2 linked regions of the Arabidopsis thaliana genome follow. The protein of the gene in region 1 interacts with the protein of each later gene in a pairwise test. Each region holds a gene or a part of one and is shown on either strand. Other genes may lie near its edges.

Region 1 (16,312 bases):
GTTGACTAATCTCGTCTGTAGCAAAGAGATTATTGTCGGAGGCAAAACCAGCTCCTGGAAGATCCCTTCTTCGCCTTCTGAGTCCCTAAACAAATGGGCTGAGAGTTTACGGTTTCGCGTTGGCGACACTCTCGGTCAGTTTTCTTTCCCCCAATTCATTCCAAAAATCAGCACTTTTCCTTTGAAATTTCTAAACTTCTGTATGTGAACAGTGTGGAAGTACGATGAGGAAAAGGACTCGGTTTTGCAAGTGACGAAAGATGCATACATTAACTGCAACACCACAAACCCAGCAGCTAACTACAGCAATGGAGATACTAAAGTGAAGCTAGAGAGATCTGGTCCTTACTTCTTCATCAGCGGCTCTAAAAGCAACTGCGTTGAAGGTGAGAAGCTTCATATTGTTGTCATGTCCTCTCGTGGTGGCCACACCGGTGGTTTTTTTACTGGTTCTTCTCCTTCTCCTGCACCATCTCCAGCTTTGTTAGGAGCTCCCACTGTGGCTCCAGCCAGTGGTGGCTCTGCTTCTTCTTTAACTCGCCAAGTTGGGGTTTTGGGATTTGTTGGATTATTAGCGATTGTTTTGCTTTGATTTAACCTGCTTTGTTCAACTTCTATCTCTGCTTTTTGATTCTTTGATCCACAAGATTTGTTGAATTCTTTTGCCTTTTAAATATTAATGTTATTTCCGAATACAAAATGCACCAACTTCAAGAGCTTTCCGAAAACAGTAACTAACACAATGCAATGTACAAACAGCATACACCACAACACTAACTAGGTCCAAAAATTTTAAAACTTGACAAAACCAACTTCTCTGCAATGTCGACGATGACGAATGCCACAACTACGTTCCAGAAAATGTAGCAGCAGCTGCAAAATATGAAGAAGAGAAAGAGTTGAAGGACTGAGAATTTACAAAGTAACGGATGCAATGCTTCACAAAGAGAAGAGAACTGAGAAGTTGATACTATCCTGGCATGTAGAGACAGAAATGGTGCTGAAAACTTCACGATAATCAGCAGATAAGTAACGGATGCAATGATCTACACGAAGAGGACTAAAGATGCTGATACTATTCTGCTATTTGTAGCCTAGGAGAGAAATCACTACAATGAACAAATCTTCCTTATTGGTACATCCTTTATATGACTCAAAGATATTATAATCATACCATGAGGAGAAGCAAATAAATCCCTAAGGATAACTCATAAAGAGACTATAGTTTTCAAAACAAATGGAAGGAAACAGTGTTTTCATTATGTGATCATAGTCATAAAGTATTAGGAGAAAGAATCGTTTTTTTTCCTTAGACATCCACCTAGTTGGCAATTCTAGAGATTTGCTTTCAGGTGTCAAAGATAATCAGAAGAGAACATTACCATGATATATTGGTAATAAATCAGGCTGTACCAACTTCGACATCATCTGAACCATCAGCTGCCGCTACTAAAGGGCCCTTCAAACCATTTTCATTGTGACCGATAATCTCACGAGCTGCCTTTTCAAGAAAGTCCTTCGCAGCTGACTGAACAGACTGTTTCTCATTTGATTGGTATTTCCTCTTTCTCGCAGATGTTTCAGAATACCTGATCCTCGATTTCTCTCCTTTACTGAGGTCTCTAATGCTTTGCTTTTGGGCTAGATTCATTTAGCAATGACTGTTAGAGAAACAATGATATACAGTAAAAGAGAGAGGTGGAAACAACAAACTGTACAAAAGCTTACTCGATGTAAGATCAGGTAGAGAATGTTCGATGAAACGGGTTGCTGCCTGACGGTTTAAGACAGTGGTCGGGCGCAAAGGTCCTACGGTAAAAAAAAAAAAGAGAAATAGATAAGAGAACATTTAGAGGATAAGATATTGATTAGAGGTAGCCATTCAATGTCTAACAAAATCGAAATGACTACAAAATTTCCTTATCAGATAAACCAAACATCAATTAGACAAGTTAAATATGAAACGATGTGCATGAAAAGAAATACTTTCGAGAAACTAAGTCGAACTAGTCGGCCCATTAGTACCCGGTAGCATATCGACAAAACGATTCTTGCCCGAAAGGCCCACGAGTCATTTCACAAAAACGCAGAGCACAAGTGTTACCAATTGAGTAAGCACTTTCTAAACGGAATATAAAAGCTCGTTGATAAACAAAGATAAGACACTAGCCTCCAAAATTTGAGATAGTAGACAAGAACAAATGGATCTTCCACAATAAGAAAAAACTTCGAAAAACATCGCGAAACATTAACATCAACAATGAGCCACAAATAAATTCAAATCAAATAAGTTGTCTAAATGGAAGTAAATCTTGACAAAACAAAGTTGAAACTATCCACTTTGATTTTAAAGCTATTCAACGGAAAAACAAATACAGAGAAACTAGATCACGAATCAGTCTCCCTAATTTCATTCAATAGACTACGAGAGGAAATCTCCTTTCAATATAAGATGATAGGTAGATGCAATAGTAAGGTGACTAAAAGATAAGTCCAGAACAATGGATTAGGCGCGATTCATTATTAGAAAGCCTTCCAATGGAAATACTACTTCCCTGCATTTAAGATGGGTACATGCAATAAAGAGTCTTTCAACGAAAATCATCATATCTACCAAAAATAAATAAAATCATCACTGAGCATAGAACAAAACAAAGAAAACAATCTAAAGCAGATACATCATCCCAACAAACAGAGGATCAGAAAAGCAAGTCCTCGGAAAATGTACTAATCAACGAAGAGGTTAGCACCTATCTGCCTAATATTAAGACTGGCTAAATAAATTCTAAGCTGAGAGCAAAATCCTTGAACACGGTTGAAATATTATCCCCAACAACTTTATAAGGTAAATGGATGCAGCAATTCTCCAATGAAAAGAGAAAGCCTTCTAATGGAAACACTACTTCCCTGCATTTAAGATGGGTACAAGCAATAAAGAGTCTTTTAAAGAAAATCATCATATCTACGAAAAATAGTATCAACACTAAACATCGAACAAAACAAGGAAAACTATATAAGGCAGATACATAATCCCAACAAACAAAGGATCAGAAACGCAAGTCCTCAAAATGTACTAATCAACAATAAGGTACACAGAGGATATCATTTAACGCTTAAGAAATCGTTAGCACCTATTAGCCTCTAAAATTACGAAAGGCTAAATAAATTCTAAGCTGAGAGCATAATCCTTGAACATGGTTGAAATATTATCCCCCAACAAAGGTAATTGAAAGCAGCAATTCTCCAATGAAAAGAGAAAGCCAAAAAAACTTGCTTAATCCACGAGACAATACAATGGCCAATTCAAACTGAAACAAATGGTTTAAACCAAAAGACACACAGAACCAAACAAGTTTTTGATCTCTCTACAAATCAATCCAGGCACCAGAAAATCAATCTTTACCTTTACTTTGATCAACACACTTCTGAAACTTCTCTCTGTACACGTTTATCCGCTCCTACAAAACCAATACTACCATCAATCAAACAACAAAAGATACCATTTTGATTAAGTTAACAAGATAATAAGAGAACTAAAACATCCAAAGACACATACAATTTCAGATTTTACACGATGATCATCAGGATCAACACCAGTACATCTCAACCTCACTGTAAACACACAAAACAACAAAAAAATTCAAATTTATCACAAACAAACAAACTTCAATCGAAACAGATTCACAAAGAAGAAAGAGTGTTACGTTCGTAAAGAGTAGTGGTGGCTTCAGCTAGCAAGTGCATAGTCTTAGCTCGCTGTAATGGTTGCATTGCAGCGAGAACCTCTGGCTCAGCTAAAGTCAGCATCTGCTCAAGCTGTGGCTTCAGTTCCTTGAGGTACGCAAGTGTTTGATTCACCGCTTCAATCGCTGATTCCGGAACCACTCCTCCAGCTCCTCCGCCGCTACTTCCTCCACCTCCTTCCATCTTCAATCGAATCGAGAATTTGAAAATTGAAAAATCCGGCGTAGATAGACTCAGAGGTAAAGAGATTAGGTTTCCGGTTAGATTCTCTGAGTCGCCGACAAGTGTTGAAATTTTTATCTTTATGGAGATGAAGAGGCGCTAACACAATCGGGAAAGAGTGACGTCAGCATTATCAAATATGGGCCGTTAATAGGCCCAAGACAAGTCAAACATTTAAGGCCCATTAAACTAGTGAATTTATTTTTATGAATTATTAAAAGGTTTCAAACTCAAATGTAGATCAGATCGGTGATTGATCAGATCGGCGGCGATGGATGGTGGCGACGATATGGATTCCCTGTTCGAAGGGATGGAGCTTTTTACACCGGCGTCTCAGTTCTCCGGTGACAGCAAGGTAAGCTCACCGCCTCAATCTGAAGAAACCAAGGCGGCGGAGGCGACACTGATCACGGCTCCTTCTCAACCAGATGTGACGGAGGCGACACTGATCACGGCTACTTCTCAGCCAGATATTACGGAGGCTTTGGACGAGAATCTGTTTTCAGACTTAACGATTGTGACTCCGGTTCAACACCAACCTGAGCCGATGGAGGCAGTTATCACTACTCATCAATCTCCGGCGAAGAATTATGGACGTCAGGTGTCACGGAGGAAGAAGAGAGCGGCTGGATTAAGAATTGGATACGGTAGGCACGAAACCAACAATCTCGACGAAGACGAAGATGATGCCGTTAGTCAACAATCCGATTCCGTTAGTCAAGTATCAGATTCAGTTAGTCAAATATCTGATTCCGTCGCGCAAGTGTTTGATTCCGGTAATCAATCTTTAGACTCTCCTGTTGTTACTGTGGTTGTTGGTAATGGTAGCTCAAGGTTGGAGTTAGTTAAGGCTCAGATCGAAGCGAAGCTAAATCGTTCTCGTGATTTGGCTGCTTCGGTTACTTCTGCTCGTAAGAATGCGATTAGGAAGAAAAGGCAAGCATCTGAGAATCTCAGATTAGCTTCTACGACGCACGAAGAGCTCGAGAAGCAGCTTGAGGAAGCGATCGAGACAGAGGATTTCGATGCGGCTGAGAGGATTAGCGAAAGCCTCGCTGCTAAGGAAAGAGATAGGCTAGCATTGTTGGCATTGCTTCGCCAAGCGGAATCTGATTGCGATGCTATTGAGTCGAAAATGGAAGAGGTTCTTCTTTCTCAGATTGCAGCTGAAGAAGAATCTGCCTGTCTGCTTCGTAGTTTTGGCACGGATGCTGAGAATGATGCTGGATCGATTCTGGAGAAAGCAGAAGCTTTTTATTCAGATGAAATGGAGAAATGGCATTCATGTTCTGAAGATGTTGAGGTTAGAAAAGTCGAATTGGATATAGAATCTGTTGTTGTTGATAACGTTCGGTTGTCGTTGAATGGTATTCTTGAGGGATCTGTTGAACAAGATATGAAAGAGAAGGAGATACTGCAGAAGAAGAAAGAACATTTGGCAAATGAACTTGAGGAGCTGCTTGCTTTGGTGAAGGCAAAGGAGAAGGAGATTGACGAGAACGATTCGCAAATAGAGGCAGTTGAGGAAAGAATTAACAATGTGGTGACTGGCTTCAAGGAATTGCAAACAAGTATGGATAAAATGTTAAACGATGTGCAAGCTGGTCTCACTGAGGTTGACAAGGAAACTGAAGATTTATCAAGGAAGAAGAAAGACGTGGACGAGTTCATGACATCTGAGAAGGAGAGAGGAGCCAAACTTCGTGATCTTGCCCGTGTTTCAGCGGATGAAGCTTGTGAATATGAGGAAGTTATTAAATTGCGGAAAGGTTTGATGTCATATGTGTCTAAAACTAGAGAAGAGAGAGCTAAGCTTGTAAATATCGAAGAGAAGCTTTCTGAGGAAGTACAGAAGCTACAAGAGGAGGTTTCCAGTACCCGAGAGTTACTTAAGGAGCGATCTTCTAAAAAGTCGATCATCCAACAGAACATTACATCTTTCATGGATAAAATTATGTTCATAGAGAAAAGGATGCCGGAGCTTGAAGCAGAGAAGAAAGTGGCTGCATCAACGAGAAATTTTAAAGAAGCTGGAAGAATAGCTGCAGAAGCCAAGTCTTTAAATTTAGAAAAGGATAAGACACAGATGGAAACAGGAAAAGCTAACGCTGAGCTCGAAAAAGCAGAGCATGAGATTGAAGAAACCATCAAGAGGCTACAAGAGATAGAGAAGTTGATTTTGTCGAAAGAAAAAGAATTGGCTATTAGTAGATTCCAGAGGTTGCGGATTGACAGTGGAACTGCAAAAGCTGAGAGATCAGCTGCTCTGGAACTGAGCGACCTTGAAGAAGCTAATCTTCTACTTGAGGAAGCGCAAGAAGCAGAATCCGAGGCAGAGAAGCTTAAACTCACAGGCGGTCTCAAAGAAGAGGAAGAGGAAGAAGAGAAAGCAAAATCTAATGAAGTTTTTGTCTCGATGGAACTCATAGCCACCGTTGGTCTGAAAAAATTACAAGAACTGGTGGAATCTGTTCCATCTTAACTCTGAAACTGCTTCAGGTTCAATCCTAGGGACTACAGGAATGTCCTGAATCATCAAGGAAAAGAACCGAATGGTTGGTTTTGTAAATCTATCAACAACATTAAGCTCCATAACGCAGTCCACGTATATGGTTTTTGTTTGGTTGTTTTTGGGATCCATGTGTTGATCGATTTGGTTGTTCAAAGAAAAGAGAGAAAGCTTATTCTATTCAAAATGTTACGAGGATAGAAACACCAGGAACTTTTTTTTGTTGGAATATACTTTCTTTGTTTCTCTGTTTACTTTAGATCAAACTGTTGATTTGGTAGGTAAACATTGTTGTCTTACTAGTCATTGTAATTTAAAAATTGTAAACTTGGCTCGTTATGGCAATTCTGTTTTGAATTTTTATTTGTATTGGACTTGAGTAGTCTTATGACACCTCTCCGTCGAAATGTCTGGCTCTCGCTGTAAGTAACAAAGTGGGATGTTCTTGGATGCTATGATTTTACATAGAGAAGTTGAAGATGTTGATACCATTGTGGAATTGTAGCCTAGGAAACCACTATAATGAACTTTACTTCATCATCATCTGAACCATTCTTAACTAAGATAACCAACTCTAAATATATGAAAATATTCTTTGTGGGAATAATATATAAAGATACAGTTTATGTAAAATTTTACTTACTCCAAATCACTTCTAAATATGTATTTTCTTATTTATATCACTCTCTAAATCTCTCTATTAAATAGAACGTTAACTCTTTAACCTCAATCTCAAATTTCAATTCTTCTAGTTATAATTTATAAACAACAGCAAAAAAAATTTTGTTCTATTACAAATATATGTTAACACTCATAGTTATTTTAAAAGTTTTTATTTTTGAAACAATATATTCTTTCCAGTTTATAATAAATATCAATTTAGATTTAAATTTTGTTTATTATCATTTTTTGTATATGTAACTTTTTAAATTTATTTATCAAAATTTTATGCTTACGCAATAATTAATTTAAAATTCCACAAATTCTTAAAAGACGACTGAAAATACAAATATTTTATCCTAATTATTATTTTTCCCTATCTCCCGTTTTTAGCTCGTCTTGTGTTCTCTCCTCGAGCCCTAGCTCGCTTCCTGATCAATCGTCACCTTTCTCGATTCATCCAAACCCTAGTTCCGAATCAGAATCCATAGTCTTCGTATCTTTCTACTTTGATCTTTCTCAATCATCAATTCGGCTTCTCTGTTTCGTTGGGTACAAGTTTCCCGAGGAGCAGTTGGATGCTGAAACAATGAGTTCATTCTCGATCACTCGTAAGAAAACACCATTCCAGAAACACAGAGAAGAAGAAGAAGCTAGGAAGAAGGTGAGTTGAAATTTTCAATCGATTCATCGCTATTCCTGGGTAGAATTTGAGAAATTTGTTCATCGGAGATTGATTTGATTGATTAATCGATGGGGTTTTCGATCTTAATCGCAGAAAGCAGAGGATGAAACGGCTCGTTTGTATCAAGAATTCGTGGAATCGTTTCAAGGGGATAATGCAACTACTAAGACTTTTGTTCGAGGTGGGACGATAAATCCTGGTGACAAGCCTAAGGTTGATTCTGAAGGTTAGTCTTTGCAAAGGCTACACAGCTTTTTAACTGTTTGTTTACAATTGCTTCTCTCTTTGTGTGTACTTTGTTCTTTTTGATTGGTGTCAAATGGTTAGAGCAATGCTTTGATTATATTGGGAACGCATTAATAAGTGTATGGACCTTTTTTCTATGCGTTCGCGGATGGCAGGTGAAAAGTCCAAAGATGGGGGTTCGGTTTCAAAGAAGGGGAGTAGGTAAAACTGATTGCTTTTGATTGAATCAATCTCGCTTTGCTATCGTAGATCGAAAGAGCTTGGTCGCTCGTGATTTTGCTGATGAGTTATACACTTTTGATATGTTTGTTACCAGGCTTGAGTAAAATATTATTAATCATGTATTTGTAACTAGCTGAGGTCTTAGGAATGATGTTCTTGGGTATTGCTTGATAAGTTGAAATTCATTCGTGTATTCTTGTTATATAGAAGATTATCGTCCACTTAATCTTTGTAGGTATGTTCCCTCTTTCCTTCCACCACCACTGGCATCCAAGGGTAAAGAACCGGAGAAGAAGGTCAGTAGCATGGATTTTGTCACTGTAATTCTCTTGTTCATTGGGTTTGTTGTTTGAAGCACAATTATTTAGTTGTAAGTTCATTTATTTCATCTTTCTAGAGGGAGGAGGAGAGGCCTAGGGAAAGAGAAAAGGGAAAGACTCGAAATATAGATAATTTCATGGAGGAGTTGAAACGTGAACAAGAAATGAGAGAAAGACGAAACCAGGATCGTGACCGTCAGGGCGATAGCTCGGTTAGTTCATTATACTCTTGTGCTCTCTTCATCATACTCTTTTGCTCTCTTCATCGGTGTTCTGCTCTCATATTTACTCTGGACTCCCGGCTTTCTATACTAAACTTATTCTGTATTCAGCCATCTAGCCGCTTTGATGAGCTACCTGATGATTTTGATCCCAGTGGGAGGCCAGGATCGTTTGACGATGGTGACCCACAAACTACGAATCTGTATGTTGGGAATCTGTCCCCAAAGGTGTTTTTTCTTTTCTTACTTGGATCATATGTTGTTTTCTCTCGCCATTGTATTCTTAATATTCATAAGGTATAATTTTATGCTCACGTAGGTTGATGAGAATTTCCTTCTGCGCACTTTCGGAAGATTTGGGCCCATAGCTAGTGTCAAGATTATGTGGCCAAGAACAGATGAGGAGAAGAGGCGACAAAGAAACTGTGGCTTTGTTTCCTTCATGAATAGGGCTGATGGACAAGCTGCAAAAGATGAAATGCAAGGTTAGCTAGCCTCTCTTCTATCTAGGACTCTCTATTTTAGCCTTGGTTAGAAATCATTTTCTAGGTAGATGCAACATGTGTGATATATATGAGAGATTAAAATGGATAGTTGAACAAGAAACGTTTTAGGCATATTAGTTTGAGTACTTCAGTTCAACAAAATTTGATTGGTTTCCTTGTTGATCGAAACATATACCCAGTGGTTGATTAATGTTGGAAACTAATGACCCTTCTGGCATTATTGACTAGTCTATCTGTCTATAGTCGACTGGTTTTGTACTAACTATATACCTGATTGCATGTGACAATGTTAAAGAAAGTTATGAAGGAAAATTTCCAATTTTACAGGGATCATCGTGTACGAGTATGAACTGAAAATTGGATGGGGTAAAGCAGTTTCTCTACCGTCACAAGCATTACCCGCTCCACCACCTGGACATATGGCTATTCGGAGTAAGGAGGTTTGTGATGCATCCTGTGCTGCTCTTCTAGATATATTTCTTCTTTAATTCTGTTCACTAACCTATGTATGGCCCGATCTCTGAATTTATTGGTATTTCCTTGCCATTTTTTGCATAAAAAGTTCTGCCAGTTTTATATCTCTTTAGTTTAACTCTAAAAACTTTAAATATTTCATTGGCAGGGCTGCAACTTGGTTTTTTCTGGTCAAACGGGTCCACCGATAATAACTTCTGTTCCAAATCAAAATTCTGAGCTGGTATGTAAACTTGGTTCCACATGGCTTGAATTGGTTCTTTATAAGTTCTATATGATATTCGTGGAAGGCTTTTGAATTACTTTATAGTCCAGAAATGTTACTGTTAAGTTTCAGAATTGATTGTCTTTATTTCTTAAAGTAATGAAAGACAAAAGCAGAACTAAAAACCAAACTTGGGATCAATTCTATTTGTAGTGCATCCTCTACTTTCCAAACCCCCAATGGCACTAAACCAGTCCCCAGATACTTGAAACTTCTCAGTACTTAATGCTTCTCTTGTTTGTAATGATACTGATTCAAGTAACTTGCTGATACGGCACCTATAGTTGACGACACTCTTACAGCTGCCCGTCTTTAATAATCTTAATCCATATGTACTTCCGTTGCATTGAACAGGTTCTTACCCCTAATGTTCCGGATATCACTGTTGTTACCCCTGAGGACGAGCACCTCAGACATGTCATTGATACATTGGCACTCTATGTTCTGGATGGTGAATGTGCTTTTGAACAAGCTATCATGGAGAGGGGCCGTGGGAATCCACTGTTCAAGTTTATGTTCGAGCTTGGCTCAAAGGAGCATACTTACTACGTCTGGAGACTATATTCCTTCGCTCAGGTACATTTTGATTGCCTTTTAACTAGGCATATATTTGCATTGTCATAAGCTGATTGAATATTTTTGCATTGTTTAGGGTGATACACTTCAAAGGTGGAGAACAGAGCCGTATATCATGATAACTGGTAGTGGAAGGTATTGAACCTTGCCAACTTTGAAACTGATCCGGGTGTTCGGTTGGTTTACCTTTGCATATGACATCTGTTGTATTAACACTGTCTATTTGCTCTTATTGCAGATGGATACCGCCACCACTGCCTGTAACTAGGACCCAGGAGCACGAAAAAGAGTCTGCCAGCACTTATGCGGCGGGAAGAACCAGAGTAATCTTCTTGCACTCTTACTTCTAATTTATTTATTTCTTTTTCTTTTGTTAGCTAAGTTGTTCTTTTGGTGTGCGGGATACCTGACACTGTTAAATCTTACAGCGTGCGGAAGTTGAGAGGACTCTGACCGATCCTCAGAGGGATGAGTTCGAGGACATGTTGCGTGCTCTTACTTTAGAAAGGAGTCAGATAAAAGAAGCTATGGGTTTCGCTTTAGATAATGCAGATGCAGCTGGAGAGGTACAATATGTTCTGACTTATATATTTCAGTACATTTAGTTGGTTTTTTCTAGACACCACAAAAAATTTGAACAGAACTACTCGTTAATAAAATAGATATTCATATGCCTCTTCCTACTTATATATGTGTACTTAATTCCACAGGTTGTTGAAGTTTTGACGGAGTCCCTGACTCTAAAAGAGACATCAATTCCAACCAAAGTTGCTAGACTCATGCTTGTGTCTGATATTCTTCATAATAGCAGTGCACGTGTTAAAAATGCATCTGCATACCGAACCAAATTCGAAGCAACTCTACCTGATATAATGGAAAGCTTCAATGATCTGTACCGAAGCATAACTGGAAGAATTACTGCTGAGGCTCTAAAAGTACTGTCAGAAAGAAAAATGATCGTTGATGGTTTTCATTCCCTTATAAATATACTTTTCTAAACTCTTTCTGACTTTTTGCAGGAACGGGTTCTCAAAGTACTGCAAGTATGGGCAGATTGGTTTCTCTTTTCAGACGCATACATATATGGACTACGTTCCACATTTCTCCGATCAGGAGTCTCTGGTGTTACCTCATTTCATTCTATCTGCGGTGATGCACCTGAAATAGAGAACAAAAGTTACGCTGACAATATGAGTGATATTGGAAAGATAAATCCAGATGCTGCACTGGCAATAGGCAAAGGAGCTGCAAGGCAAGAGCTGATGAATTTACCAATTGCTGAGCTTGAGAGGCGTTGTCGGCACAACGGACTGTCTCTTGTAGGAGGTAGAGTAATGATGGTTACCCGGCTACTAAGCCTTGAAGACACAGAGAAACAACGCGGCTATGAAGCAGTGGATGAAATTCCAAAGCATCCGCAAAACCATTCAACTTGGGAAGAAGTTAAGAGTGAGCGGGAGCATATCAAGAACAGCTACGCAGAGGTTGAAATGAAAGAGCCTGTGAATCTACCCACGACAATACCAATCCCACAGCCTGAGCTGAAAGCCTTTGTGGGAAAAGAGAAGAATGAACTCATATTGCCAGCTTCAAAATGGGCGAGAGACGATGATGAAGCTGATGATGAACAAAAGAGGAGCTCCTCTTCAGGAAGTGACAATACTGGTGGGATAACTTTCAAGGCCGATGGCGAGGATCTCAAGGGAAATGATTGTGTCCGTGCCCAACCTGACAACGGAATGGACGAGGAACAAAGGTATGATCAATGCATCTCTTTATGAAAAGATATTAGGAAAGTAACTTAAGCAAGCAAAATATAGATTAAAAAACACCAATTTGCATTATTGCTTCATGTTGGTGCTTGAGCATTAAAAACAACAAAGAATTCCTCGAAATAGTAACATCAGCGTAAGGGTAGTTTATGTTAGTGAGGGAGGTGTGTTCTTGTGAACTTCAATTGATTTGGTCTTTATAGAGTACACATTATTTTGTATTTTGGCTCTTACCCGGTTAAGTTGGATAATTGAGAGCCATAGAAAGCTTTTGGGCATATGCATCAATTGTATGTACCCAAATGTGCCTTACCTACCCATACATGAGCTTGCACCAATACTGTTAAAGTTAACAAGAAAATATGAGAACTTACTTTCAGTAGAAGTTGCTATTCAATTGTATAATCTGAAACTCAATAGACTTCTCCCTTGCTCTGTTTTTTGTTACTGCAGACAAAAGCGGAGACGCATAGAAGTTGCTTTGATAGAGTATCGTGAAACTCTTGAGGAACAGGGGATGAAAAACCCCGAAGAGATAGAGAGAAAAGTAGAAATAAACAGAAAGAGGCTTGAAGTCGATTATGGCTTATCAGGACCTAACGAGGGCAACAGAAATCGTAAGTTCTTACTTCTCACCCAACATACACATACTCTTCTTTTGTTTTGGGAAAGGTTGTTAATTTGCTCTATTTCCATTCGATGCAACAATGAGTGAAACACTATTAATGCGTCTCAAACACTATTAAATTAGGTATTCACACATTGATTTTAACTGCAGAGAAATCAATAATAGAGCGGAAGGAGAAGCGTGAAGATTCACAAGAGTCCTCTAAAAAGCGGCACCGTGGGGAAAACAAGAGCCAAAGTCCGCCACGGAAATCATCAACGAGGGAGAGAGATCATGACTTGGGGAGAGACAGGGATAGAGAGAGACACAGAGACAGAGATAGGCAACATGATTTGAACAGGGATCGAGATCGACGTGAAAAGAGTTCAAGCCACGATCGAGACGATAATGATAGAAGCAAAGAGAGAGACAGGGATTGGCGCAGACGAGGCACGAGATGATAATGATGATTATGCTTGTTCTCACCTCATGGTCTGTTCTCAAGATTTTAACCTTTTGTGTTTTTAAATCCAGAAGATATTGTAGAACTTGTTCTCAGACACAGCTTGTAATTTTGTATCCCAATTTCTGAAAGATTTCTCACTCAATTGTTTCTTCTACTGGATTCTTGTTTTTCTTATGGAACTATTTTAGAAATGTAAGTAGATTAGGTAGGTCCCCAAATTCACAAAGAATTGTTTCTTCTATACCAAAAACACACAAACTTGTTATGCATTCAGAGAAAAATGTAGTGTGTGCCTTTTGCACTTTCCAGAAGTAAAAGTGAAGTTCGGCAAAACTGCTGAAAAACTGAAGCATTTGCTTCAAACACTATAATAAAAGAACACTAGCTATCTTCTATCAACAGAGTGAACAAGAGAAGCCAATTCCAAATTCCGAGTTCCTTCTTTTTCATCTTTCTCTTCGTCCGAATCTTCGCCCATTATCTCATCCGGGAGCTTGAACGTGTTTTGATCTCCTTTAGGCACAAGAAACAGAAAACAAAGCGGCAAAAGTCTCATGACATTCCTGACCAAAACCGCAAGCCACAGGTTACCAAACTCAGTCCGAGTCACCTTGAGGACATGCAACATTATCCCTCCAAGCCAAGATGAGGTCATGAGGCCTGCATTGTCAATTGACATTAGCAATGCAAAGAACGTCCCTTCAATTCCGTGGGGACAAAGCTTTGAAGTGAGGACAAGCAGCGGCATCCATTTCAAGCGTCCGATCATCTGAGAAACTATCTCGTCCACTACTATGAAGAGATAATCCGGTAAACCAAATTTTAAGTTGAGACGGAACACAAGAATGAGGTCAAGCATTCCCGATAGAGCAAAGAGAAGTTGAGTCCACAAACAAAGTCCGCGGAACGGATGATCCTTTAGGACTAGTTGGTATAACGTTGCTGCTAGAATCGATCCGATTGAACCAATGGAGAGAATGAAACCAACTGTTTCCTAAAACAGACCAGGTAGGTTCTTCAGCATATTACTTATTTTGGGGTGAAGTTTGAAAATAGAAACTATTTGTTTTGGTAATACCTGAGCAAACAAAGGACCATCCTTTGAATCTGTGAACCAATAGAAGAGACCTTCATGTATGTTCAAACCAAGAGTAAGGGAAATGTACATATACAAACTCGGCCGCCACACATCTGAACACTTCATTGTCCTCCACATCGCTTTCCCTGCATCGGTAAATTTCTGGTTCACCTGAAATGATACAACAAGAGTCAATACCCTCATGATCAAGCTACCAAAGAGAGAATAATTATTACCTGTTTGTAAGAGAAACCAGGAACATGGGGCTCACTAAACACGATCCCGACTACCGATACTAACGCGAATGGGAATGTCAGCAATCCAAAGACACCCTAATGTCGCAAAACAAGCCAAATACAGCATTAGAGAGGAAACACAAATGAAAAAGATCATAGTAGACAGACGATTCATTAACCTTAGAGCCAACAAGATGAACTAAGATGCCACTCATAAAGAAACCAAGAAGTGCTCCAATGGAAGAGCTTAAACTGCATAAACTCTGCATATCCGATGCAAGAGAAGGATGTTTGATACTATTGTAAGCAGTACAAGCATCAATGGTTACATCAGCAATCGCCATTGCAGCACTTGATATTGTCATCCAAAACAGTGCCAAGTAAAGGTGTAGATTACTATGCAGTGAAATAAACAACAATGAAACCACTCCAAGCACCCCTACAAAAACAGAGTTTTGTACATTTAAAAGAGAAATCAAAGAGACTTTGATCGAAATTTCGAGCGAGATTTTACCTGCTAAAATGAAGTAAGGACGTCTATGGAAACCAAAGATGGGAAGAACATCAGTGAGAATGCCCCAAAGTGGTTTAATGATCCATGGAATCTTAGTGATTGCAGTGAGAGCTTGAGATTCAGAAGGCTGAACTTTTTGAACATCTTTCATATAATACTCTGTAGCTACACGACCTAATGAGCCACCAAGCCCTTGGTTAATTCCATATAGTGAGACTACACCAAACACAAAGCTCCAATGAAGCTCTGAAGACAACATCTTTAGCCACCGTACAGGACCACACACCACATTACGGAAATTACTTTCTCCTTTGACCACATGTACGGATCCGCCGTTTTCAAGGCTTTGCTCTTCTACTACCATAACTTGCAAGGAGGAGAAAGATTCAAGATTTGGCTCTGTTTTGAGCTTAAATGTTGAAACTTTTGATATGGGTTTGGTCTGAAAAACAGATCCGAGGGGCGAGGACAAGAGAGTTGTTTGAAGTTGGTATGTCTTGGATTGGATTGAGCTCAGATTATTAAAAAAAGGATGAATCTTTTGATGTAAGCAAGTCAAAAATCAAAGATTTGGGAATCAAATATGATGAATCTTGAATTAAACTCAAGAAACAAAAATGAAATTTGCACACATTCGTTGACCCTGTTTTCGTATGAACAACAAATGACCATTGAAGAAGAAGAAGAGAAGAAAAAGAAAATGAATAAAGAAACTAAAGGATAAAACTTAGATCAAGAGAGACGAAAGGAAAAGGTCAAAGCTTTTGCTGCTAAATGTTTGACCAGAACACACATCTTTCTTTGTCTCTTACTAAGAACATTCTTGTCTGTTTTCCTCTGCTTATTTTTTGCAATTTTACCTCAAAAATAGAAGCTTTTTATAGAATTTATAAGGTTATTAATTCAATAGAAGAAGATGAGTTCTTTGTTAAATGGAATTAAGCTTGGTTTTGCATCAAAGTCACCATATTACTTCATCAATACTTTTG
Region 2 (14,172 bases), on another chromosome or scaffold:
TATCAATCAGAGAGCTTTAATTATCGTTTTTATACACACTGATAAAATCATTTGCAAGTTTTTTCCACATCTTGACATTTGTGTGAGTTATATTACAAACTTGAGAAATATGAAGACAAAATAATCACATCATTGGTTTTCTGCACTTCCAACTCCTTCCTGTTGAAAATTGAAAAGCTAAATATCACAAAAGAGTTTAGTGACATGGGATAAGAGTCTAAAGAGTGGAATCAAAACTGACCATGGCGCATATACTCGGATAAAGTTCCCTATTTCGATATCAACATCCGCACAAACTTTCGGACTAAAAATAATTGTTGTTTCTGTTTCTTTTGCCGCAAGAGCTTGTGTGTTCTTGAGTAATAGGGAGTCCTACAAAATCGAATGTGACTAAATCAATTGCTTAAGGGTCTAATTAAAGGAGCAGGTTTATCAGATGCGTCAAAGAGATGGAGAGATAAACCCCAGAGAGGTCAATGACAGAGCATTTGCAGACGACAAGCTTTCCCTCCAAGTGTCTTGACATGACTTTAACATCAACATAGCCCGATGAATCTGAGTTGGGAAATTGGAACGAGTAACAGAGGTATGAACTAGATTTTGTTTATATGGGAGTTACAAAAAGAGTTACCTGCTTCTCCGATTCCGCTTTGCAATTTCCTCATGATTTCCATTTCCGTCTCTTTTTCTTGTTTCATGATCTGTTGCAGCTTGCCATACAGGCTAGAGCCACTGCAAATTGATGCAACCAAAAATGGGTTTTCATGTTAACTGATGTGTGATTTTAAGAGTGTGGTGCATAAAAGATGTTGAGAGTTTGATTACCCAGATAATTTAGGTGAACCGAACAAGAGACCTTCTTTGCTCAAAGAGGAAGCTTTTATTGCTTCATCAAACCGGTCCCCAACAAATTGTTTCTTCTGGTTGGAAATGTTTGGCACTGAGCTTTGATAACTAGGCTATGTCACAGAACAATATAATTTGAATTTGACTGTAAACTGAGGAGAAGGAGATTACCCAAATCACAAGAAAGGAAAAGAATAAAACCTCATCATCGCTTGATGATCCACTATCCATAGGTCCAGGAAGTTCATCATCAGTATCACTATCTTGGAAGTTAGATGAATTTCCCTTATGAGTAAATTTCCGACTTTTTGCTTCATGTCTGCTGTCCTGGAGCAGAAAGGAGGCCAAACGAATGAAACAGATGTCTGAGAGCAAAGCAGCAAATCAAATGCTAATCCACTGTATAATCAATAATACCAGTTCAGAGCTTCTTTTTATCAGTCTAATTTTATCTAGAGGAATTTCTTGAAGCTTGGGTACCGCATCTTTAGTGCACTCGTGCAAAACTTCTCTCGACTCAGCAACAGAAACACCCTGCCTGTTTTCTGATCTTTCATCAAAACTGTTGGGGCATTCAATAATTGGATCCTCTTCTATAGCCTGATCCTCCACATCAGGCTCAAAGATTTCAGCCATGTCACTTATCTTGGATGACGTTTCTCCATGAGTATGTGAGTTAAATGAAAATTTTGGCCTCCCATGATCTTTGAGACCTGCATATACATTAGAAACCCAACTCAGAGATTTCAGAAAATCGTGCATACATGATCTGTTTCTTTGAGTTTTCATACGTGGTGCAACGTTCTTTAACTTGTACGGTAAAAAAATACCAAGAAGAGTTTTGGATAAAACAGTACCATTACTACTTTTCTTGGCTCTGAAGCCAGATAGATGGGATGATGCGACTGAAGCAACACCATTCAAATGGATTAGTGACTTGGTTTCTTTACTTATAGCAGACCAAGTTGCCACTTGTTCATCATGTGTAATCTGAAGGCAACAACAATCACCATTCAAAACATAAGTAGAGGATACTGTCACCAATTTGAAGAACTTATCAAGATGCATGAGTGAAATGGACTCCAAGATTAGAAGGTAACCTCATCATCTGACCCATTTTCCTGAGCAGATATGCATGCTAATCCAGTTCTTCTGGAAGAAGAAATATAACTCTCCTCGGGGGAGTCAGGAACTTCGACCACATCTTCAAGAGAGGATGATATCTTCCGTAGCTAAAAAGGAAATTTCTCTCATCACCATTTGATTCCAATATTCCTCCAAAAAAGAAGCTGCACAAAAGAATTTGCAACGAAAAAGACTCACAGTTGCTTCCAGAGTTACATCACCGGTTTCCCTAGCATAATTTAGCTCACCACAACCTGGAAACAACACAGAAGCTCTTTGTGAAACTTGACTGAAGTTAAATAGTCGTAGAAAAGGCTTGACCGCAAAATGGATATATTATATGTACCTATGAGTTTTTCGAGCTTTGTTTGAAGTAGTAATCCTCTCTACAATATTGAAGCCAACTATGGTCAAACCACAATCAAATTCCCTATAGCTCCTCAAAAAAAACTACTCAAGCCAACAACAATCAATTCGGCAAATCAGAAGTTGCCAAGTTCTTTCTCAAAGACAACTTCTCAGGAGTTCACAGAGAGCTTTATGCAAGCTTAACGAATCGAAAGTTGAGATTAAACATTACCTCTTGTTCCTTCGCATTCTCCTTCGGCGAAATATCATTTTCTTCTTCTTCCTCTAAAAGACCAAACAACAGCTTGAGAATCACTCGATAGACAATGAAACACAAAGATCTAAAATCGAAATTTCAGATGAAGAAAAAGAAGCAATCATCAGTCCTCACCAGATATGCTCTGATCGGAATCTGGATTCCCCTGATGATAATCCAACAAGAAAAAAGCAAAACAGAAAATCAAATCAATGTCCTGGAAAGAGAAAAAAGCAAACAATTCTCAGCGATGCATAACAGTCACCGGTAAGTTACTTCGCCGCCACATTCGCCGTCACCGTTCAAATCGATCTTGCCGGTGTTCGCCTTTGTACCGTCGTTTGCCCGTTAGTATGCTTGGATATGGGCCCTTGTCTGAGATATTCACTTCTTCTTTTTTGTATAACTAATTGGGCTTTAACAGGCCCAATTCAATAAAACTCTTCCATGTTTTATAATTTGTTTTTTATATCCCACATTTTAGAATTAATCTACATATAGAATTTTGGGCCAAAATATATACTATTTAGTTTTTATTTCCTACAATATCTATTTAAAAAAAATATTGTTCTAGGTCTTTTTAACGCTATTAATTTCATTCGTTATATAGAACCAATGTAATCAGAGTGAACATCCCTATTGTTCTAAATTTATATTCTGAACTAAATATTATCATCATTAAATTACATTTAATTAATTGCTAATTTTTTAATTAATTAAGTTTTTATAGCATAAAAATATTAAAAAGATACAAAATCGTCTTGGAAGTATATCATACAAATATTTTTGATAAAAATATAGGTCTATGGTATATCTCTTAATATGCTATTTATATATATTATATTAATTAAAATAAAAATCTTTAACCTTTTTTCGAAAATATTAAACCGAAATATACCGCGGATCAATCTCTAGTTAATAGTTATAATTAGCAAATTCCTTAATTTCACATTTTTGTACAAATACTGCTCTTCAATAATATAAGGAGAGTTATTTCATAATTTTTTGATTTTTTGACCAATAAAAAGAAAACTTGTTAAATTAATCACAATAAACACTAATTCTAAATCGTAATTTGGAAATACATTAAAAACATTATATATTTCTTAAAAGGTTAAAGATATAAATACATACACATTGATTTTTTAGGACTCGGAATCCAAGGAACCAATGAAGTATTATTCATTTGAGTCACGGGCTTGTTCATATGTCTTTAGCATACTTTTTGAATCAATCAATCTATGATAGTCAGGTGATAATGTGAATAGTTGGCTGGTTGAGTCTCCAGTCGGGTGCACTACGACCACTTTAAATCCATTCTCTATGAGATCTAAAATCACATCCGCAAACCCTCCATCACCCGTCATCATCGCTATAACACTTTTTCCGATTTTCTCTTCATATCATATCCTCTTTATGTTAGAATATATAAAAAAACAAGTATAAGGTTCGCTGTCCGAATAATTTTGAGTCTCAAGAAGGTTGACAATAAGAATAACTTGTTTATCAATATTTCTTTTAGTTTAATTTTTTTTAACTTTTAAAACCAATAAAAGAATTAAAAAATTATAAATACTTTAATTTAATTTTCTAAAATTGATGTATCTATCCATAATAACAAGTAAAAATTTGTATTATGTATAAAATGATTAAAATTATACTATAAAACAGAAAATAATTTAACTTTAAATAAATATTAAAATTTTAATTTTAATTTTAGTATTATTTATTAAATTACATGACACGCCTTCCAGAAGATCCACTGCACCTCTACTTTATCTGTAACAAAATATTACTATCCTTTCATCTAACGGTTAAATAGGAAATCCACCGTAGTCATTGATACAGCTGATTATTCCCAAGCTCGAAACGAGAAAAGACTAGAGCGCGCAAATTTTGAATATATTTATTTATTGTCTTTACTTTCCATCAAATTTTGAAGAACGAAAGAACACTGTTGGCTAAGAGGAAAACCCTAGGAACCATCAACCGAGAAGAACGAAGAAGATTCGAAAGATGGAAGGGACATTGGAGCGACACTATTCTGCTTCAATTCGGTCAATTTTCGAAGCTTTCTTTTGAGAATCGTCCATCGTCGAATGTTGCTTCATCGGAGTTTCAGGGTCTTCTCGATTCGGACTCGTCGGAGCTCCGGAATCAGTTGGGCTCCGCTGATTCAGGTGCCAATTGCGGAGATAAGGACTTTATTCTTAGCCAAGACTTCTTCTGGTAAATCTTCGGCATTTCCTGTAACACAATTCTGGTAAATCTTCGGCATCAAATCAGTACTTGTAAGTATCTGTAACACAATTCTGGTTTAGTTATTCTGATATCTTCCGTAGCTAAAAAGGAAATTTCTCTCATCACCATTTGATTCCAATATTCCTCAGAACAAGAAGCTGCGCAAAAGAATTTGAAAACGAAAACGACTCACAGTTGCTTCCACCGTTACATCACCGGGATCCCTAGCATAATTTAGCGCACCACAACCTGAAAACAACACATAAGCTCCTTATGAAAACACTTTCCTTAATCAGTTAATCTATGAACTGCAAGAAGGTACGGGAAACCTGACTGAAGTTAAGATAGTCATAGAAAAGGCTTGATCGCAAAATATATACCTATGAGTTTTTCGAGCTTTGTTTGAAGTATTAATCCTCCCTACAATATTCAAGCCAACTATGGTCAAACCACAATCAAATTCACCCTATAGCTCCTCAAAACTAGTCAAGCCAACAACAATCAGGAATTGGGCAAAATCAAAAGTTCCCATGTTCTTTCTCAAAGACAAATTCTCAGGAGTTCCCAGAGAGCTTTATGCAAGCTCAAGTTGAGATTAAACATTACCTCTTCTTCCTTTGCATTCTCGCTTGGCCACATATCATTTTCTCCCAAACTAACATTGATGATCTCTTCCTCCTCCTCTAAAAGACCAAACAACAGCTTGCGAATCACTTGTTAGACAATGAGCGACCTAAACACTAAGATCTAAAATCGAAATTTCAGATGATAAAAGCAATCATCAGTTCTCACCAGAGATGCTCTGATCGGAATCTGGATTCCCCTGAAAATCCAACAAGAACAAAAGCAAAACTCAAAATCAAATTAATCCAACAATAAAAGAAATCGCAAAAGCAAACAATTCTCAGAGATGTAGAACAGTCACCGGAAGGTTTCTTCGCCGTCACATTCGCCGTCACCGTTCAAATCGATCTCGCCGGCGTGCACCTTTATACCGTCCTTGCCGTTAGTATGCTTGGATATGGGCCCTTCTCTGAGTTTACTTTCTTTTAGTATTAGTAATTGGGCTTTAATAGGCCCAATTCCCATGTTTTATATCCCACATTTTAGAATTAATCAAACATTAATCTGGCAATTCCTTAATTTCACATTCTAGTACAAATTACTGGTCTTTAGTTATAAGGATTAAGGAGAGTTAATTCATGTTTGGAAAAAAAAAAATGAGAAACTTTTTAGTTGTTTGACCAATAAAAATACAAATTGTTAAATTAATTAACAAAAAATACTAATTCAAAATTTTAATTAGTGAATCGTAACAAAAAATATTATATTTCTTAAGAAAGTTGAATATTTAAATTAGTGAATCGTAACAAAAAAAATGCTAGTGCTATTATAGAAAAAAATATTATTTATTAAAGACCCATCAAAGCGTACATGATACGCTCTACAGAAGATCCGCTGCACCTTTACTTTATCTGTAGCAAAATATTTCAATCCTGAAGATTGAACGGTCCAGAATTGATTATATAGGAAGTGCACCGTAGTCAGTCATGCAGATGACTATTCCCAAATTTTAGCTCGAAACTCTAAAAGACGAGAGCGCGCAAATTTTGAATTTATTAATTTATTTCAATTATTTTTCCTTAGTTGAATCACCACCCAAAGTAATAATATTCATCGTCATGTTCGAGAAGAACGGAAGAACACTGTTGGCGAAGAGGAAAACCCAAGGGACAATCAAAACCAGGGCATCGAAGAAGATTCGGAAGATGGAAGGGACATTGGAGCGTCACTCTCTGCTTCAATTCGGTCAATTGTCGAAGATTTCTTTCGAAAATCGTCCGTCGTCGAATGTTGCTTCATCGGCGTTTCAGGGTCTCCTGGATTCGGATTCTTCGGAACTCCGAAATCAGTTGGGTTCCGCTGATTCAGATGCCAATTGCGGAGAGAAGGACTTTATTCTTAGCCAAGACTTCTTCTGGTAAATCTTCGTTAACTCTGGCATTTCTTAGCTGTGTATATCTAATTCGAGATCTATCGTTATCTTCTAGGTAGTTGAATTTTGGGATTAGTTAGTATTACGATTTCAAGATCTGACTTTAGATTTGAGATGGTTTCCCTTATATTCACTTTTTAAAAATGAAAGCTAAACTTATGTCTAGCTAAAAGATGCTTGTGAGATGTTGATGAATGATGGTCTCAGCTACTAATAATTTCTTCTCTGGTTAATTTTTCCAGCACACCTGACTATATAACCCCGGACAATCAGAACTTGATGAGCGGCTTAGATATCAGCAAGGTAAAATTGTTGATTTGGATGTTTATTTCACCAATGTCTCAAATTTAAAGTTCTTCTCTTTATTGTTTTTGTAGGATCATTCTCCATGTCCTAGGTCTCCTGTTAAACTAAATACAGTTAAAAGCAAAAGATGTCGCCAGGGTAAGCTTTCTTTGGATTCAGATTTTGTGTTTAGTATGAGTAAAAAGAAGATTTTCGGATGAGAAGAAAATATACGTTTCAGTTTTTGTGGTACAATTGTTATCATTATAGTTATGTTTGATCTCCTGTTTTAACAACTGTCCAATATTGAATTCTTTATTGCTTTAAGATTCACACTAGTAGTATCTAGTGATTTCATGTTTTGGTGACAGTGTGTTCTTTGCTTAATTTTTTCATTACTCAGTTTTGTTTGTTTTTTTTTGTGTTTGATGCAGAGAGTTTCACAGGAAATCATTCAAATTCTACCTGGTCTTCAAAACATAGAGTAGATGAACAAGAGAATGATGATATTGACACAGATGAGGTGATGGGGGATAAACTCCAAGCTAATCAAACAGAGAGGACTGGATACGTTTCACAGGCTGCAGTTGCTCTGCGGTGTCGGGCTATGCCACCCCCTTGCCTCAAGAATCCGTATGTGTTGAATCAGTCTGAGACTGCTACTGACCCTTTTGGACATCAGAGATCAAAATGTGCAAGTAAGTTTGTTGTCCCTAAAATTCTTGCTCAAGAATTTCCTGAAGGCTTTAAAAATCAATAAGGCTTGGTTTCTTCAGTAAAACTGTACTAAATATACTGTTATGTAGGTTTTCTCCCTGTAAGTACAAGTGGGGATGGCTTGTCAAGATATCTCACGGACTTTCATGAAATCCGGGTAAGCGAAAGGGTCTTTTAGCTTGGAATTGTGATCATGACGGAATTATGTTGCTTCTTCTTACGTATTTTGGTTTGGTTTCTCCAGCAAATTGGTGCTGGACATTTCAGTCGGGTATTTAAGGTGTTGAAGAGAATGGACGGTTGCCTATATGCTGTGAAACACAGCACAAGAAAGTTGTATCTAGATTCAGAGAGGTATAATTTTCTCTAGTTTTCTTAGTAAGAGAAAGACACATATCTGCTGAAAATAGTTCATCTTGTTTGGATCGTTTTTGTTCAAGTAATCACAGCTGAATTTTTGCAGACGTAAAGCTATGATGGAAGTGCAAGCTCTTGCTGCTCTTGGTCAGTACAGTCCCTTCTTTGGCCTTCTTGTTCTCAAACTATTCTGTTATTCCCTGTTTGCAAGCTAAGCTCAGTGTAGCCTTAAACCGTTTTTATCTTGTTTTGTTCGTAGGGTTTCATGAAAATATAGTAGGATATTACTCCTCGTGGTTTGAAAATGAGCAATTATACATTCAACTGGAACTCTGCGATCACAGCTTGTCAGCTTTGCCTAAGAAATCTTCTCTTAAAGTCTCAGAAAGAGAGATCTTGGTGATTATGCATCAGGTAAACACTGGCTTCATTTTCATATAAAATCAAGTATAGAGATATTATTGATTCTTTGAATTCTTATATACATACCATTGTACTATGTCTCTTACAGATAGCAAAGGCATTACATTTTGTGCATGAGAAAGGAATAGCTCATTTAGATGTAAAACCTGACAATATTTACATTAAGAACGGTGTTTGCAAGCTTGGTGACTTTGGTTGTGCCACACGATTGGACAAAAGCTTACCAGTAGAAGAAGGAGATGCACGTTACATGCCTCAAGAAATTCTAAATGAAGACTACGAACACCTTGATAAAGTCGATATCTTCTCTTTAGGTGTGACGGTTTATGAGCTGATTAAGGGATCTCCTCTTACAGAATCAAGAAACCAGTCGCTCAATATCAAAGAAGGAAAACTTCCTCTCCTTCCTGGCCATTCGTTGCAGTTACAACAACTTCTTAAGGTATGTTATTTGCATTCTTACTTGTGTGTTGTCATGGCTGTCCCACGCATTGGAACATAGCATTTAAGACAGAAATTCTGACATGTTTCTTGAAACAGACAATGATGGATCGTGATCCGAAGCGTCGGCCTTCTGCTAGAGAATTACTGGACCATCCCATGTTTGATAGGATTCGAGGTTGATTCATAGAGTCTCTCAGATGTCGAGAACTAAATTTTGTAAATTATGGTACCAATGATCGGAGGAGGGTAATGGTCCATGGCCATGCACCAGTTTTTTTTTTGTGGAAAACTATTGGCGTAAAAAGATACCATGATCTTGGTTTCGGTACAAAAGATCCGGTTAACCAACAAAAACTGAACTGAATTAATGGCTATTGTATATTTGTGGAACTGAAATTGGGAATTGTATTTTCATGTTTCATTATAATCTCAAATGCCATTAGATTTTTATTGAGTTGAAACTGTTTGAAGAGTCTAATAGGGTAATAGGTCACACAATGGTAGAATGGTTAAAAGCAAAGCAAAATGGTGAAATCTTCACGGTAGTTTAAAACTTGTATAGTTGATTATGATCAAAACTCAAAAGTCTAATGATTTTACACTAGCTCTAAAGGTTATTTATTTACTTTTTTCTCTCCCCAATTGCGGTTCAATTTCTTGAAAAGGCAATATAAATTAATTAAAGAGGTGTTTAGTTTATTGCTTCATCACATGTACTATGTAAAAAAAAAAAAAAAAAAGAAGAAAAAGATTCTAGATGCTTCTGTTAAAATTTACTAATTTCCAAAATACTCTCTCTGTTCTAAAAGATTGATATTCTAGAGTTTTCACATATTAACAAACAATCATTATTTAATTATTTGTCAATCACCTTTTTAAATGAAATATTTTTTAATATCTTTGAATCAATAGTAGTATGAAATCTACAATTAATTAATATCAATCAATAAAAATTAAGTAAAATCCTAAAATTCAATCTTTGTAGAACAAACTCAAAATACTATAACATCAGTTTATCATGATATACTTCCTTAAAAGTATTAATCTTCATAGTTATCATAATTTTATATTAATAATAAAAAAATCTATAATACCTTTTTTATCATTACCACAAGAGAAAAAAAACCAACACATATATAATTCCAAATCACTACACCATAGAAATAGAAGAAACACATTTGTTAAGGTACATAATATTAAATGTTCATAGTTATAGAGTCCAGATTTCAACTTAAAAATGTTAATTGGTAGGTAAGTGTTTTTTCTACTTTGACCAAAAAGAAAAGGAATAAAAAAGTGTATCTACTTTCTATATATTATTTTCAAAGAAAACAATAACAAAAAACTTCACCGCCTTTCTCAAAGCCTCCTATATAATAATATCTTCTGTTTTCTCTTCTAGGCTTTAAGACACCAACTTCTCGATTCTCAGAGCTCTTCCAAATCCCTGTGAAATCGGATTCGAGTAATACTCTCGGAACCTTCTGGTACGTGACGAACCTAGGGTTTAAGATCGCACACTTTTCTCTTCACATGTCTCGATTTCGTACTCTTCTTTAGTCTTTCGCTGATTTCTTCTGTTTTTGTCACTGTTTCGCAATATCTGCTCGAGGGTTACGTCCCGTTTCTGTATGAACGATTTAGGGTTACGTTGGCTTCTTCTCTGTGCTTTGTTGATTCTCTGCGAAATACTTGATTTGATTGTTGTGTTCAAATTCCTTCTTCTTTCTCTCTTGGTGATTCATCGTGATGGATGCGTAATATCTTCTTATCGTTGTTCTTTTGGTAGTCTGATTAGTTTTAGTTTGTGTTTTGATGATATATAAGAGTATCATAGATCTCAACAAGTAAATTCTGTTTTAGTTATCTTGATTTCTCATCATGTCTTGTTACTTTATTGCAGAACCTTGTTCATCTCATAATGGCGAAGAAGGATTCTGTGTTGGAGGCAGGATGGTCTGTCATGGAGGCTGGTGTTGCAAAGCTACAAAAGATTCTGGAAGAAGTGCCTGATGAGCCACCATTTGACCCGGTTCAACGTATGCAGCTGTACACGTATGTCTTCTTATTATAATGTTTGTTTCTTGTTTTTACTAGAGTTCCGTTAACGGTGTGGATACTAACACACAGCGATGTGAATTCACAGGACTGTCCACAATCTGTGTACCCAGAAACCTCCTAATGATTACTCACAGCAGATCTATGATCGGTATGGTGGAGTATATGTTGATTACAATAAACAAACTGTGAGTAATATACCATGTTTGCGTTTGGGCTTTGATTCTGTAACGCTGTTCTGTACAACTTGAGCAAACGGTCTAATGTTTTTATATGTGATTAGGTGTTGCCGGCTATACGTGAGAAGCATGGTGAATATATGTTGAGAGAGCTTGTTAAGAGATGGGCCAACCAGAAAATTCTTGTTAGATGGTTATCCCACTTCTTCGAATATCTTGACCGTTTTTATACTCGTCGGGGGTCTCATCCAACACTGAGTGCTGTTGGCTTCATATCCTTCCGCGACCTGGTTTATCAAGAGTTACAGTCCAAGGCCAAAGACGCTGTACTAGCACTTGTAAGTATCTCTAACTGAGTAGCTCTGGTTTACTTATTCTGGTTTATCTAACGCAATTTGTATTGCCAGATTCATAAAGAACGCGAGGGCGAACAGATTGATAGAGCACTATTGAAAAACGTAATAGATGTCTATTGTGGGAATGGGATGGGAGAGCTGGTTAAATACGAAGAGGATTTTGAAAGCTTCTTGCTTGAAGATTCTGCATCTTACTACTCTCGCAACGCCTCAAGGTGGAACCAGGAGAATTCTTGTCCTGATTACATGATAAAGGCTGAGGAGTCTCTAAGACTGGAGAAGGAGAGAGTCACCAACTACCTTCATTCAACCACTGAGCCGAAACTAGTTGCGGTTAGCTGAAATATATAATTATATATTTGGAATAATCATATTTTGACTGAGGGAATGTTTAAGCGTTTTGATTGTTTGTTTTTTGTTTTGGATGCAGAAAGTACAAAATGAATTGTTGGTAGTGGTTGCAAAACAACTTATAGAAAATGAGCACTCAGGATGCCGTGCATTGTTAAGAGACGACAAGGTAATCGACTTGTGTTGGTTTCTTTAATTCTTAAAGAGTTCTCTTCTAAAATTCACTCTTTGACTGAGCATTTGGATATACTTTCAGATGGATGATCTCGCCAGGATGTACAGGCTTTATCATCCAATACCGCAAGGGCTGGATCCTGTTGCAGACTTATTCAAGCAACATATTACTGTAGAGGGAAGTGCCCTTATCAAACAAGCTACCGAGGCAGCTACTGATAAGGTTTATATTCTTTGCTCATTCGAATATTAGATGTTAGTCTACTCCTTTTTTTATTGCTGAGAATTACGTACTTCCCCAGGCTGCAAGTACTAGTGGACTGAAGGTGCAGGACCAGGTGCTTATCAGACAATTAATTGACCTACACGATAAATTCATGGTCTACGTCGATGAGTGTTTTCAGAAACACAGCCTCTTCCATAAGGTGTGTGTATGTGTGTGTGTTCACATGTCTATCTTGTTTTCCACACTATATTATTTAATGACCATAGTTTCTTTGAATATATTGTAGGCATTGAAGGAGGCATTTGAAGTCTTCTGTAACAAGACAGTGGCTGGAGTGTCCAGTGCAGAAATTCTTGCAACGTATTGCGATAATATCCTCAAGACGGGAGGGGGAATTGAGAAGCTTGAAAATGAAGATCTTGAACTTACGCTTGAGAAAGTAGTTTTCTTCTTCCTTCATATATACTGCTAATAATGCCCTACAAATATGTCACTTTGATGCTGACTTTTTTAATTTTATTTATTACAGGTGGTTAAGTTGCTTGTTTATATAAGTGACAAGGATCTTTTCGCCGAGTTTTTCAGGAAGAAACAAGCCCGTCGGCTCTTGTTTGATCGCAACGGTAATGACTACCACGAAAGAAGTTTACTTACAAAGTTTAAAGAACTACTCGGTGCGCAGTTTACTTCTAAGATGGAGGGCATGGTTAGTCACATGAGTTTTATTTCCTTTGAAAACGGGTTGCTTATTTAGTAGTAACGAAGGTTAATAATGCTTTTTTTTTTTGTACATTCGATTTGTTTCATATAGCTGACGGATATGACATTGGCAAAAGAACACCAAACCAACTTCGTGGAATTTTTATCAGTTAACAAGACCAAAAAGCTGGGGATGGATTTCACTGTCACTGTACTTACTACTGGTTTTTGGCCAAGTTACAAAACAACCGACCTCAATCTACCCATTGAAATGGTAAGTCGTTTATTTTGTAAGTCTTGAAACAGAAAAGAAGAAGATTGTCTGAGCTCCAATTTTCTTTTTGTTTCAGGTCAACTGTGTTGAAGCTTTTAAGGCCTATTATGGAACAAAAACCAATTCCAGGAGACTTTCATGGATTTATTCTTTAGGAACTTGTCAGTTAGCTGGAAAATTCGATAAAAAAACAATTGAGATAGTAGTTACCACCTACCAGGTATGTTTCTGGTTTGTTGTCACTTGGTGATGATGTTTATTTGTACTTAAATATCTTGTTTTTTCTTCTGTCAGGCTGCTGTGCTTTTACTCTTCAACAACACAGAGAGATTAAGCTACACTGAGATCTTGGAGCAGCTAAACCTCGGCCATGAAGATCTTGCCAGGCTGCTTCATTCACTATCATGCTTAAAGTACAAGATTCTTATAAAGGAACCAATGTCGAGAAACATCTCCAACACCGATACCTTTGAATTCAACTCCAAGTTCACCGATAAGATGAGGAGAATTAGGGTATGATGATATTTTCATTAGCGTTGTGTTGTTATTTTCATGTAAGCCCGGATCAAAAATGATGTGTTTTTCTTGAACAGGTGCCTCTGCCTCCGATGGATGAGAGGAAGAAAATTGTTGAAGATGTTGATAAAGATAGACGCTATGCAATTGATGCAGCTCTTGTTCGGATCATGAAGAGTAGAAAAGTGTTGGGGCATCAACAGTTGGTCTCTGAATGTGTTGAGCATCTCAGCAAAATGTTCAAGGTAAATACAAAAACTCTAATTCTGTAAATGTCTTGTAATTTGTGTCCATCAAGGAA

Evidence for each region.
Region 2: the proteins of RRC1 (region 1) and WEE1 interact in a protein complementation assay, tested with the Arabidopsis thaliana proteins (one study listed by BioGRID).

Annotation. Positions count from the first base shown.
Region 1 is NC_003076.8:8,631,397-8,647,708, reverse strand, and holds RRC1 (RNA recognition motif (RRM)-containing protein), read left to right. Parts: upstream 1-7,491; 5' UTR 7,492-7,724; coding exon 7,725-7,799; intron 7,800-7,913; coding exon 7,914-8,046; intron 8,047-8,221; coding exon 8,222-8,267; intron 8,268-8,523; coding exon 8,524-8,584; intron 8,585-8,685; coding exon 8,686-8,820; intron 8,821-8,940; coding exon 8,941-9,057; intron 9,058-9,148; coding exon 9,149-9,314; intron 9,315-9,662; coding exon 9,663-9,775; intron 9,776-9,957; coding exon 9,958-10,032; intron 10,033-10,428; coding exon 10,429-10,650; intron 10,651-10,726; coding exon 10,727-10,785; intron 10,786-10,888; coding exon 10,889-10,973; intron 10,974-11,078; coding exon 11,079-11,216; intron 11,217-11,360; coding exon 11,361-11,585; intron 11,586-11,669; coding exon 11,670-12,406; intron 12,407-12,875; coding exon 12,876-13,039; intron 13,040-13,200; coding exon 13,201-13,490; 3' UTR 13,491-13,880; coding exon of another isoform or gene 13,881-14,489; 3' UTR 14,490-14,573; downstream 14,574-16,312. Other genes in the region: ENODL13 (early nodulin-like protein 13), read left to right, coding at 1-134, 213-592; AT5G25080 (Sas10/Utp3/C1D family), read right to left, coding at 1,403-1,641, 1,729-1,809, 3,404-3,458, 3,557-3,612, 3,705-3,927; AT5G25070 (neurofilament light protein), read left to right, coding at 4,238-6,448; AT5G25050 (Major facilitator superfamily protein), read right to left, coding at 13,881-14,489, 14,574-14,744, 14,810-14,905, 14,989-15,248, 15,324-15,687. UniProt on the Arabidopsis thaliana protein: As a member of the SWAP1-SFPS-RRC1 splicing factor complex, modulates photomorphogenesis by regulating the gene expression and pre-messenger RNA (mRNA) alternative splicing of a large number of genes, including those involved in plant responses to light signaling.
Region 2 is NC_003070.9:666,910-681,081, forward strand, and holds WEE1 (WEE1-like kinase), read left to right. Parts: upstream 1-6,396; 5' UTR 6,397-6,498; coding exon 6,499-6,797; intron 6,798-7,054; coding exon 7,055-7,115; intron 7,116-7,189; coding exon 7,190-7,256; intron 7,257-7,531; coding exon 7,532-7,795; intron 7,796-7,903; coding exon 7,904-7,971; intron 7,972-8,058; coding exon 8,059-8,168; intron 8,169-8,277; coding exon 8,278-8,318; intron 8,319-8,430; coding exon 8,431-8,585; intron 8,586-8,682; coding exon 8,683-9,036; intron 9,037-9,134; coding exon 9,135-9,218; 3' UTR 9,219-9,510; downstream 9,511-14,172. Other genes in the region: AT1G02960 (kinetochore protein), read right to left, coding at 93-159, 242-372, 464-555, 632-732, 826-959, 1,048-1,173, 1,264-1,559, 1,704-1,836 and 6 more; AT1G02965 (uncharacterized protein), read right to left, coding at 4,752-4,874, 5,010-5,065, 5,197-5,236, 5,423-5,497, 5,609-5,639, 5,742-5,905; CUL2 (cullin 2), read left to right, coding at 10,960-11,093, 11,185-11,284, 11,380-11,613, 11,683-11,964, 12,062-12,151, 12,239-12,379, 12,459-12,581, 12,669-12,821 and 5 more. UniProt on the Arabidopsis thaliana protein: Cell cycle regulatory kinase that is not rate-limiting for cycle progression under normal growth conditions. Transcriptionally activated upon DNA stress or damage in an ATR- or ATM-dependent manner.